Schizosaccharomyces pombe: one gene and its partner. The protein of the gene in region 1 interacts with the protein of each later gene in a pairwise test. Each region holds a gene or a part of one and is shown on either strand. Other genes may lie near its edges.

Region 1 (8,692 bases):
CTAAATTAAACAATAAAGTCTAGCCATCAGAACTAAAAAATGATGGCCTCATTATTACAATAAAGGAGCATGCGGTAGCGACAATTGGAAAAGTTGTGAGATAAGAATGCAAAACTACACACCCAAAGTGTCAATTTGGGTAAATCTAATAATGGTATTTTACATGAAAAGTACCTTAGATAAATAAACATGTGACCCAAAAGCTGTATTGGAAGCATGCGTGATTAAGGAACGAATAATGGAGTAAAGCGGACAGACAAGGAATGGTGAAAGAGGCCATTGAATTTAAAGTTAAGAAGCAATGCGTATTACCTTCCAATTAATAATGGACCATTTACTCTATAGAAACAGTTCTGATGAATGAGATAGTATATTTTTTGGCGCAGAAAAGTAGAAACGCTAATGCTTTCTATATGAAGACATTTCCAGCTCTTTCTCGTTTTTTAAAATCCTTCTTTCTCTCCTAGTTGCAAAATGAAGAAATAGAACGATCAGTATGCAACAGGATAAACCAACGGATAACCCAATTGCAAGTTTCTTGTCAATCGGGTTTACAGAAAATGCAGGGGAAACATCCACTACCATCTTCCAGTAAAACGTGTTCGCTAATAGGACCTGTGGACCCACATATACCGTGCTGGCGGTACCATTTTGAGGAACAGCAACAACTCGCGCAGTAATGTTGTCCATCTTCATAAGCCATTTCTTATCTATCTTTACCATCCAGTAAGTTTGGTTGGAAGGAATAACACCACTGCTCGTAATCAATGTGTTATTGGAGTCGGCATATTGCAAAGCAATTTCGACAAACTGTTCAGTGGGTTGTTTCCATTTGACAGCATAAGTAAATCCTCTAGCCCATCGAGAATCTTAAACAAAAGTCAGTTTTACAATACTAAAAATTAAATAAAAAACATACCTTCAGCAGGAGTGATGAACTCAAATTCAGCCCGAACAAGATTGATAAAAGTAAGGATTAAGAATAAAGCAGATCCTAGAAAGAATTTCATTTTGTGAACCCGAAGTTTTCTTTGTAGCTTAAAAAAAATAAAAAAACGGTCTTCTCTAACGTGAATCTTACAATGTCTTTAGCATAGACTCAGTGATACGGCAATTGTCTGCGGAAGATACATCAACAGCCAGGGACGGAAGTGTAAAATTAACTCGTACTCGTTAATGCGATATCATTGTATATATTCGAATGATACTGTTATCGTATTCAACAAAAAAAATTAGTAAATCCTTTTTAGAGTGGAAATATATGAGTTGAAAATGCTGTCATCAGAACCCAGATAACTTTACACTAATAAAATAAATTTCGGTTATTCGTTTGCCGTATCCGCATGGCTTAAAGTATAGAAAGAAAAAGCTATTTATAACAGTCTAGCATATAATTATGTTGGAAACGAACTGCAGTAGTAAGCAGTAAACAATAAACAAAAACCTTTAACAATGTACAAGAAATAAACAGAAAAAATAATAATATTAAATTAATTTAGTAAAGAATCAACCAAGTGTTGAAGAAATCTCAAAAATTGGTTATGACAGGTGTGCTGTTTATTGTTTACATACTAAAAAATTTTGATAAATTATGCTTTCGTTCTAAATAGGACTCTAAATGTTACCAGTTATAGAGCTAAAGTAAATTTTTTTATAAAGGAAATATATGTAATTTAAATTACTAGCTGGTCTAGTAATTTACTTTGACACTGTCTACCGTTTAATGATGATCATGGATTGAAAATTTGTATAAACAAATTGGAGTGCTTCATTGGCATCATTTGTTTACATTTTCATTTGCTTTGGGCCGATATAGCAAAGCTTAGGGAACAAAAAGTAAGTTTTGCTTAGAGGGAAATATTTGGGTTTGGCGAAGTAAACAAACAAACAAACTATTAATGAAAATTGTGCCTCATCTAACAGCCCGCACTTTACCAAACAAAAGGCGACTAAAATAAAAATTAAAACAGGAAATGCTTTCCATGCTATTACCTTTCGGAAATTCAGGTGTATACGCCAGTGATGTAGATCGAGAAGATCGACCAGAAATTGCTAAATTGGTGCAAGCATTCCCTACCATTGAAGAAGACTATCATGTGGTTAAGTTAGTAGGAGCAGGAAGTTTTAGCAGCGTCTTTAAAGCGGTGGATAGACATTTCGATAGCTACGATAACTCCTACTGGATATCATCTCAAATAGAAGATCAGATGCCCCATGACAAAACCAAGAGACCAAAAAACCATTTTGTTGCATTGAAAAGAATTTATGCCACCGTTCTTCCCTCAAGAATCCAAACTGAACTTGAGATGCTACATGAACTACGAGGCAGTGATTGTGTACTAAATATGATAACTGCTGTAAGACATCAAGATCAAGTGTTAATTGTACTACCGTTTATACAACATGCAGAGTTCCGGGACTTCTATATGAAATATTCTCTTCCAGAAATTGGTGCGTACTTAAGAGACCTCTTGAAAGGGTTGGCACATATAGATGCAAAGGGCATAATTCATCGAGATATCAAACCAGGTAACTTTGCTTGGAATCCTTACACCCAAAGGGGAGTCATACTTGACTTTGGATTAGCTCAATGGCAAGAGGCAGATGCACCTACAGAAAATTGCTGTGTCGATAAATTGAGAAAACTGAAGCAAGAAGGAAAATATTACGATTATTTTCCATTTGAGAAAACGATAGCAGATCCTCCAGAGGGTTACTTGCTACATGATCCAAGGCCTACAAAACGTGCTGACCGAGCCGGAACAAGAGGATTTCGAGCGCCTGAGGTATTGTTTCGATGCCAAAATCAAACATCCTCAATTGATGTGTGGTCAGTGGGAGTCATTTTGTTGTGTTTTTTAACACATCGATATCCTTTTTTCCGCTGTGAAGATGATATCGATGCAATCGTAGAATTAGCACATATCTTTGGAAGAAATGGCATGTCAAACTGCGCATTATTACATGGTAAGTAGTTATTAAACACTTGAGCGTAAAAGTTGAAAAAACGAAGAGAGAAATCGTTTTCTAACCAATGCTTCAAATCTTTTTGAGACAACTTTTGAGGTGCTAACTTGTATTTCTCTCAGGACAAATTTGGTCAGATAACATTCCGACTCTACTAGATCAAAAGCATAATTGGCTAGACCTAATTGCTAGCATTACGAAGAATGATGAGAATTTAATTTTAGAGACAAGCTCAGATTATCAAGTGGCTTTAGCCATTGACTTGTTGGACAAGTTATTAGAATTACATCGTACGTGCAAATCCCAAAAACAAAATACTAGGAAGTGGACTAGGAGGAAAATTCTTAAATGACAAAAAAAAACGCGAACCGAAATGGCCTTTTTTTTATTGTTTCATTCATGGATTGTCTTCTTTTATGATGCTTTTTAGGTTTTTTAACGAAGCCTGGGGCTATCCACTCTGAAACTAGTATCTTGATTTCCAAACTCCAGTTGTATAAAACAACATGGCAGGAATTAATTAAAAATTGAATGGCTAACAATTATCTAGCATCGAAACGAGTAAAGGCCAAAACAGCTCTTCAGCACGAATTCTTTAATGCATGTGGGGTTACCCGGTCAGGATTTGAGGCAGAAAACCCTTTTCGAAGTGATTTCCCTTCAACTGTAGAGCAGTAGACGTGTATCTGCCAAAGATGGAGAAATTTCCACACGTCGGAATTCCATAATATCATTCAAAGTTTTATTTATTGTATCGATTAACTCTTAATAATAATGAATGTCAAAGATAAAGATATTTGAAGTTGCGTGCGTTGCAAACATCTCAAAAACCAAAGCACGTGAGAAAAGCGAATGTGTAACGGTCAAATACTAAGTACAGTAAAAGGTTAACCAAATGAGCAGACTAAATACGAAATGTTTAGATAGGATGAGATGTCTCTGACAAACATTAACCTACTTTAATCGTTACAATGCCTGTAGCGTCAAGTCATTATAGTGGAATCAGCCAACAGATGTGTCAACGTCGTCGAATAAAGTACATAAGAAACAAATCAGCAATTAAAAGTACAATAACCTTAAACTAAGAAAAAGCCGAATTCAAAATAAGCCAATTTCCTTTCTTCATAATGATAAAAGATATTTTCCAAAATGTAAACAAAAGATCGCCGAGAAGTTTCGATCATGAAAAAAGTCAAACAGTCACGTACTCCATTATCCATCTCTTTCAAACTCTTACTGACGTGGGCCATTGCGTGAGTGAAATCACTAAACAGATGATTGCGTATTGTTTACAACGTCACTAAGTGTTGATTGCGCACCGGCTTTCTAATGTGTTATTGTAAATAACGATGTTTTGTTTTTCCAGTATACTCTTTAGCGATAATGTTATGAGAATAGTATGTACACTGACTATCATATTAAAGAGGTAGGTATTGACACCTCTTAAGCTACATGTGTAAAGAGATTGATTTGTGAGCGTATCAAAGGAAAAAATGAAGTGTAATACTGAATAAAAACTACTCCTTTATTTATCTTCCAAGAGATTGAATATATAGGGGAAACATTTTTTTCTTAACTTCACACTAAACCATCTCTAAACAAAAGTCGGGCACCAGAGAGAGTAATGAAGTAGTGTAGGACAAAAGGTGCTATCGTGCGTTAATTATTTTACTGTAAGGATTTAACACACGGTAAACAAACATATCGCCTGATGTCATTATTCGCTTCCCATAGTAATGATGTAAATATGTTATGACGCTGTTAGAGACTTACGTTTAGACATATTGATGGAAAATGCATTTATTCCACCCAAATCTAATACTATAAAAGGACTTCCTTTCCCAACCTAGTTGAGCATCGTTTCACACAAAAATAAGAATTGTTTGTTTGTATTTGGATAATTCTATAGTTTGTTCTCTCTTTTCACAAGACTATTAAATTTTATTTTTTTGCATTGTCCAACCGTCTATTAATATATTTATCAATACTTCCAAAATGTCTAGCTCTAAGGCCAACCAAACCCGTGTTTGTTACCAACCTGAGGATACTACCTTTATTATCATCGCCTCAAACGGTCCCGATGTCATGAGATGGCGCAAGGACAAGACTGTTCCCTTAACTGAGATCGTCGACTCTTTTCAAGTTTTTACAACTAGCAACAACAAAGGTAACGAAGGTCAATTAATTACTGCTTCCAAACAAGAACTTGAGAATACCTTTGGTACTAGCAAGGACGTTGATGTTGTCACTAAAATTTTGACTGACGGAAAAATCATTCCCCATCGTGAACATGGCAAGCACAAAGAAGTCAACTAAATGACTAATTCTACTAGTTGAGGCTAGTTATACCACCGACTTTAATGAGTTAAAACATATGGCCCACGTATATCTATTATAGGTATTCCCATTTGTGTTATATAATGATGCAATCTGACGAAGTACACAATGTCCGCATTCCAACATTACCTGAACTTCATGGCAATTTTTGGAATCCTTTCCCGTTCCTTTGGTAATTATTCGACTTTAATCTCCTATTGCCTCTGACATTGAGTCAAGGGTTAATGTTTGTGTCTTATCTAAGGGACTTAAAGGCATTTGTTATGTTTATGTATGATTATAACTTGCTTTTATGGTTTGGACGTTCTAAAGGCTGTGCGGTTATGTGTATGCTTTACGTTAAAAAAAATCTGTTTTTGTTTACATAGAAATGTATTTATGACTTTTGTTGTAACCTGTTGTTATGGTTGTATGGTGTGTTTCATTTTTGTAGAAAATGCGTAATCATCGTAAGCATAACTTAATTTTTAGCTTTCAGCATTATTCTTGTGTACAATGCAGTGTTATAAGCTAGCTGCTTAATAAATAATTTCAGCCTAGCAACTAATACACGCGACTTTATGATAGACGTATGACATACATATTTGTATATATATAAAATAAATTAGCAACTGTGCTCATTAAATTAAAAGTATCGTTCAGTAAATTAATAAACATTAATAGAAGTCTCCATCATTACCGTAGTTAACTAACTACTCACTCTTTTGACATCCTTAGACTTTACAAAATAATAGTCTTTAATAGCCATCACACTTTTGTACTCATCGGTATTCAAAAAATCAAATGGCGCAATATCTTGAAAATTCCGAAAAAAATCGTAAAACAATTGTAACCACGAATAGACCATTTTGAGTTCACGCTTATTCAACGGAATTCTCCTTAGGGTAGAATCTGTGACTGGAGGCACTAAAATATCTCGAAATGTCTCCAACAAGCCAAACCAAAGCCGCGAAAGCAAGTAAAAAAGAGGTTTCGGGAGCAAGTTTACATAAATCCAATAAAAAAAATCATCTAGCTCTGCCAACAATGACTGCTGCTCTTTTTCACACCGGGCCTGCAACTCGTCCATCTTTTCTTTAGTCTCAGCCTCTGCGTTATCATTTTCGTCTCCATCAAGATAACGCACGAAATCCATTAACCCACTATTTCTTAAGGAATTTCGAATAAATTTACTTAGAGAAATCATCAGTACATTTAGCATTTTTACTTCAGTAACGGTAAGGTATTCCATTTGGGCAAAGCAGTAATAATTTGGTGTTTCCCTCTTCAAGAGCACACGCAACCCAATCAAAATTTGTCCCTTATTAGTGATATCAAGCCAAACATCTTTTCCGTGGCCTTGCTTAAGTTTGTCGGGATCAACTTCTAGTGTTGCATGACCATATACAGTCTCCAATCCAGTGTGTATATTCCTCTGATATATAATTAATTTAAAACGCTTTACGTTTGTAATCTCCATCTGATACGTTTCTTTCCAATTGGGAACTAGCTCGTCATAAACATCTCGAGTATGTACACAAAATTCCGACTCAGGATCTTGGAGCAAAACAGAGAATGAATATGGGGCCTTTGGGGTTACCAAAAGATGGGCCATCTTAATGGAAATTATAACAGTCGCAGATGGTACTTCCATATCTTTAAAGTGCATTACCTTCTCTGTCAATATTTTATAATCAATCCTTTGATGCAGCATTTTTAACCAACCACTCACTAAACTGACGGTATTGATTAGGGTGAATGATTCCCTATACAGCTTCAAAAAATTTGGGTCCCCAGAATGTCTTTTAAAATGACTAGCTTTTTCTTTAAGCTGCTTCACCGGAAGATCAGGAACTAAAGGTTCTGCTTTCAATGGTATATCGGTACTATAAATAAACAATGCATACATGCTGTCAACGTAGTAATGAATGTAGTTTTCACTAAGTTTTCCAAGATGCAAATAAAAACGATTTGCATCTTTGGAACTTGGCCAATCTATTTTCTGCAGAAAATCATAACAGTCCTGCAAAGGAGCAAGAATCATTTTAGTTGAATCTGAATAAAATCTGGATCTCTTAGGAATGAAAGACTCTCTTAGGACTGTTTGCAACACATTAGCCAAGCCCTTGTCGATTATCAGCGACAAATTTCTATATACAAAGGTACCGCTAAAAGCTTCATAAATTTTCGGGTAGTCCGACGATAGGTATCCGGTGCAAGCCACTAAAGCGCGAGTTTGCTGGTATAGAGCATTGATCATTTCAAGGATATGATCTGGAATTTCTTTGCAATTTGAGTATACATAAGTTTTGGTAATGGTAGGTAATTTCTCAAGAAACAAGTGACATGTTGCTTCTGCAAAAAATGAGTGAACCGAAAGCTGGTTAAATATTCTAGCACTAAAATTCGACTTCAAGTTTTCGTAAGTGGCTTGCAATTGGACACCCACTAATCGAAGCCCTTCGAGATCTGATTCAGGCTTCCCAGTCAGTTCTTTCTTCAGTAGATTCTGGAAAAACTCCCCATATTTTTCTTTCAGTTTTTTAAAAAAGTCGGTGTATTGCTCTTCTAGTTCTTCAGGGGTTACCAGAAAAAGCGGACATGAAAAGATGTAATTATTAAGGATATCAAGGATAGCTCGGCAAGAATCACTAGAACGAGGACAGCTCCCCAATTCTTCTACTAAGTCATTTAAAGCTCTTCTATGATAAAACGCCAATAACTCCGAAAATTGGTGTTCGTCATGGACTGACCAAATCGCATAATCACAATCATGAATTAAAGAAAAGAAGTATTCAAAAATATCTCCAAGGTCCGAAAACTTTAGGAGTTTATCCTCAAGATAAGGCCAATATATACTTAAGACCACGCAACAACATGTTCCAGGATGAATACGCCAAATGTTGATGAAACTTGTAGTCATGCTCCATAAAACGTTGGTACCAATTTCATTACTTTGGCTATAACAATAACGTAAGCACAAATCCATTAAACGATAAAAGTATGGAGCACAATCATCAGGTCTCAAAGTATATTTATTGGTATTCAAAATCGCAGATAGAAGATCATTGTTTCCCTCGGCATATTGTAGTTCTTCAAAAAGGACAGCCAAATCAGGATAGTTTTGAAAAATTTTACTAATAGCATTTTCTGAGTAATAACACTCCCTTTCAACGTATTTGTCGAACACAGCTTTTGATGAGAAATCGTCACTTCTTAATACAGAATTGTCGTTAATTGCCCTATACTTTGATAACTGAAAATCAGCAACGGCGGCAAAGGATATATTTTCCGGAAGTAGATCCTCGACACTTAGAATGAAGGCATTGTAGTTAGGGATATTAAATACACCACATAAAACTTTTACATAGCTGATTAGCGAAAAGTCACCTAAAAGAAAAAGATGTTT
Region 2 (4,656 bases), 720 kb from region 1:
TCAACCTTTTTAGAAAATTCACTTATTATCTTTGGAAAAGTAGCTAAACTTCCATTTTTATAACTTCCTTTACATTTTAACTTGTGAATTTGTCCAATCATCATATGCAAATGCTTGGATCAAATTTCTAGCGATGGATAGTTTAGGGGGAAATAAAATTGGAGCAGGTCCATCCTTGGCATCCCATTCCAAAGAACGAAGAACTTCCTCTCGGGAAAAAAAACGCACATCCTCTAATTCTAAGTCTTTATCTCTCTGGATTTTAGCATTTTTTCGGGCAATTCCAAAACAAGCCAACATTAAACTTTGAGGAAAAGGCCAGGGTTGACTAGCATAATATAAAACCTTTTCTACGTCAACTCCAGATTCTTCATAGGTTTCACGGACAACGGCCTCTTCCAAGCTTTCCCCTGGCTCCAGAAAGCCTGCCAGACATGCATACAGTCCTTTCGGATGGCGCAAAGCTCTTCCAAGTAAAATGTGTTGCATATCATGAGACAATATAACCATTATTACGCATGGATCTGTCCGAGGATACTGGTAATTATTAATACCCTTCTTTGAAGGACAGTTTGAGTCGTCGTTCAATAAAACGTCACTGCAGACCAATTTTGTACCGCCCATAGTAGGTATGTTGCGTTTTCCACAACCCGGGCAAAATCTGTACCTTGAAATCCAGTCAAGAATAGAGCGTGCAAAAGCACAAGCACCAGAATCCGATGCGCTCAATTGATATTGTTCGGTGAAGATAGAGCGAAGATTAACGAAAGTACCTCCATTGTCTCGTATCGATTGCTGAAGTTCATCGATGCCAGTAATGTCAATGGCAAAAACGTTGTGTTGACTCCAATTATCTGTTGGTCCATTTCTTTCTTCGTTGCCCATGTAGACAAGGACAGGTAAACTTTCTCCTTTGGAAAATCGTTCAGCAATTTGTTTATCAGTGTGCTCAAAAGGGGAGAACGTGAAATATTTGGATATCTGAGGATATGAAAGAGTGACCAATTTATCGTCCTTTACGAGTAGAGCCGGATTTAAGTCACAAAAAGGAAGAAAGCGAGTGGTATGATCATAAAAGGCTTTATTTAAAAATTCTCGATTAGACCTAAGAAACGAAAGCCTATTTAATGAGCTTCCTGCGAAGAACTGAGAAGGGGCAGTCGGAAGCCTTGAAAAACGTTAGAAAACTCATTTTTTTAAGATTATTATATCAAAAATTGATTTTATGTGTTACATTGCACATGTATTAGCAAGGGTTGAGCGGTACGTTCCATGAGCATGCAAAACAGATGATATGAATTATCAAGTTTGAAGTAGCTTTAAATAGAACTAACAATTAACTACTTACTCAAAATGTCGAGCTATTTTGAAACCCTGCATACTTAAACTTGATTTCTGAAAGACGAAAAGAATATTAAACCTAACCAATTATTAAAACAGAATTTTGCAAATCTCTCGAATAAATTCTACAATTGTTTAACTGTTAAAATACGCAGAATAGAAAATGAAAGATGGAAATGAAGAACAGAGAGGACCAGAAGGAGGGTTATTTATGCACCAGCGTAATGGTAATGGTACAATTTATGAGTGAACTAAAAGTCGAACCCAAGTTGCAAGTAAAAATCTAATAAAATGATGTAAACGAACTCTCAGCTGGGAAAACCTTAAAGTTCCAAATGAAAAGGGATACTGAATATGAAAAAGTCTCCGTTAAATACGATTGCCATACAACTTCTCAAATGCCATGAAGTATTTAACGAATTTCGTTAAAAAAATAATTGTAAACATATTGGTATGTGTTTTCGCAATTATTAACGCCTTGGTGAGTCATAAAAGTATCATTGGAATAAAAATAGATTTTGTTTGTTTGTTTTTTTGGTTAATTCCTAAATGGACAGTTACGGGAATTGCTTTGAGTTGTTTTCGTTATGTTGACGATTAATTAACTACAAAGTTCTCACGTGTCAGTGTAACAATGTTACCTAGACTTTTAGGTACCTATTTATTTAAAATTGGGTCTATGTTTATTTTACAAGCTTGAATCAAGTAAATATATATTTTCTAATCATATGAATACTAAAAAAATTTTTACAAAGGAACCCAGCAAAACTATCAAATGGAGCCAAAGTAGCTTATTTATTTAGTATGAATGTGATACGCAACGCGACGTGTCGCGCGTTTAATTTACTGGCTTAATACGCGAGGCGAGGCTTTTGTTTACAAACAATACTAGGTGAATATGAGAAAATATTTGAGTAAACAAACAAAATCAAATTGTATATATATCCAGGATACTCCTCCAAACTTCCACAGAAAAAAAGATAGGTTTATCTTTTTACTTCTAGAGGAAAACCTGCATCTTGCTTACCGAGGCCATTGCTGAATATTAAAGCCAGACATAAGTAGGATTAACCAACAGGTGAATTCATCAGCCTCCCAAGGAATATATATACATACTTCTTCTTCCTAAAAATCTTTCCGAGTCAATCCGGAAGAGTATGGACTTCTATTCAGTGAAGTCTCAGCCGTTTGTTCGATCTCCTCTAGTCGACCAAAATCCCAGTATACAAAATATAAACGAAGAAGTAAAGAGAGATATTCAAAATCCTCTTAGCTATAAAACAGAAACTTCGGACAAAGAACTGTGTCAAACTGCAGCTTGCGCAACTTCATGCTCCGACTGGTACCCTCAACAACAAACGCACATGCCTCATCAAAATGCCTTTGACTCTGCTAAAGCCACAGCAAAGATGGCTCTCCCACCCACTGCTTTTTCAAACTACTGTGTAAAACCTTCCCTAACGCGAAACAAGGATATACCAAGAACCAGCATTCGAGTTTCCAAACTTCGTTACTGGCAAAGAGATTATCGATTGGCGTTTCCCAACTTTATATTTTACTTTGACAACGTTGATGAGGAAATCAAGCGTCGTGTTACGCAAAAGATTAATAATCTTGGAGCCGTAAGTAGTTCATGCAAGAACTTGCGCAGATCAAAACTAACACATATATAGAAAGTAGCAACATTATTTACTTTTGAAGTTACACATTTCATTACCACCAGGACTACCGACCCAGAAATGTGCCAGCCGAATGATGTACTTTACCTTTCGAAAACTGCCAATATGAAAATTTGGCTCCTGGACAGTAAGTCTTCTTAATATATCAGTGTAACCTTCGCTAACTTTCTTAGAACTATTGAACAGAATCCTCTTTACATTACTCAACTCTGATAGCCTGGTTAATACCTCAGCTTCGTGCTTGCAATCTCTCCTAGACGGTGAAAAAGTGTATGGTACATCAGACAAAGACTTTTACGTGCCAAGCAAAAACGTCGAGTACTTTCGTGAATACTTCCTCTGCATTAGAGATTTATCACAATACTATAAGCCAATTGCAGTACGAGAATGGGAGAAAACATTGGATTCTGGAGAGATCTTATGGCCAAGTCTTGCTATAACCGCACAAGGAAGATGTCCATTTAATACTGGTAGAAGAAGGGAGTTAAAAATCACAAAACATAACCATCCAGCTCACGAAATCAGAAAACAGCTCTTAAGTTGCACTAATCAAACTAACCAAAATAACGTTGTTAAAAATTCAGCGAGTGTGTTGGTGCGTCAAATCATGGGGGACTATAATATCACAGAATCAGCAGTTGATGGTGCAAAACAAATGCCGACAGAGTTTCCAAAGCCAGAAAACCTCTTACCGGTAGAGAAACGCGCCGCAATGTCTCCACTTAACCTTCTTGAACCTCGTTTAATAAACAAACAAAACACCTTGGCTAACCAAAGTCCTCGACAACCACCTAATGCCTTCGATGCAGATCCTCTAGCTCACAAGAAGGTGAAAATCGAAACAAAATCAGGATATTGTGAAAACTGCTGTGAGAGATACAAGGACTTGGAAAGGGTAAGTTAAACCAATCATAGCAAAAACAGCACTAACACATCGATAGCATTTGGGCGGAAAACATCATAGAAGATTTGCAGAGAAAGATGAAAATTTCCAGGGTTTAGATGATTTGTTTTTGCTAATCCGACGCCCAATTCGGACAAATTAACGTTAGTTCAAGTTTTAAGGATGTCTCAAAAATTCCAGAAAGCAAGTTCAAACATTCAAATAAACCGTAAAATCAATATATCCTTTGTCCAAATGAAAAATTCAAAATAATCTGCTAAAAGGGAAGAGAAAATTAACAATATAATGATGTGTTGTAGCATTCTTTTCTTAAACCAAGGTCAGGCTTAAGCCTATGATTGTAACAAACAATGCAAGTAAAGCTCCAAACATTATCGAGTTTAAATCAAAATAGATTTAAAATAAGTTAGACTGGTTTTCCAAGCGTGGAAAGCTCATTGGTGATACACTCTTTCAAAAGTTCAGATTTGATTTGCATCATTCCTTCCTTTGCGTTTTCTGTTCCAACAATCCCTAATAATAATGGGTCTTTGGAGTAAAGTTTATCTTCAGCCCCATCAATTGAAATGGCGGCTATTAATAATTTCCCCCTTTCAAACTCAATTATTGTTTCAAAAAGTACATCTCTTTGATGAGCAATCACGTCGTCTGTAGACTCCGCGACCAAAGGGCTAGGGTTGGTTGCAGTATAAAGTGAATACATGTTGCCTGCTAAAGCCGCAATAGATCTAA

What was found. The genes of interacting proteins can lie anywhere in the genome.
Region 2: the proteins of spo4 (region 1) and spo6 interact in a two-hybrid assay, tested with the Schizosaccharomyces pombe proteins (one study listed by BioGRID).

What each region holds. Positions count from the first base shown.
Region 1 is NC_003423.3:3,825,205-3,833,896, forward strand, and holds spo4 (serine/threonine protein kinase (DDK family) Spo4), read left to right. Parts: upstream 1-1,973; coding exon 1,974-2,967; exon of another isoform or gene 2,968-3,089; coding exon 3,090-3,257; exon of another isoform or gene 3,258-3,517; coding exon 3,518-3,645; 3' UTR 3,646-3,756; downstream 3,757-8,692. Other genes in the region: protein psg1, read right to left, coding at 400-869, 920-1,010; SBDS family protein Rtc3, read left to right, coding at 4,963-5,283; C2 domain protein Git1, read right to left, coding at 5,993-8,692. UniProt on the Schizosaccharomyces pombe protein: Required for the initiation of meiosis II and progression through anaphase II.
Region 2 is NC_003423.3:3,100,786-3,105,441, forward strand, and holds spo6 (Spo4-Spo6 kinase complex regulatory subunit Spo6), read left to right. Parts: upstream 1-2,311; 5' UTR 2,312-2,498; coding exon 2,499-2,963; exon of another isoform or gene 2,964-3,014; coding exon 3,015-3,147; exon of another isoform or gene 3,148-3,193; coding exon 3,194-3,915; exon of another isoform or gene 3,916-3,961; coding exon 3,962-4,066; 3' UTR 4,067-4,156; downstream 4,157-4,656. Other genes in the region: SPOM_SPBC1778.03C (NADH pyrophosphatase), read right to left, coding at 70-1,168, 1,349-1,380; guanyl-nucleotide exchange factor Lam2, read right to left, coding at 4,331-4,656. UniProt on the Schizosaccharomyces pombe protein: May act as a kinase regulator. Essential for progression of meiosis II and sporulation.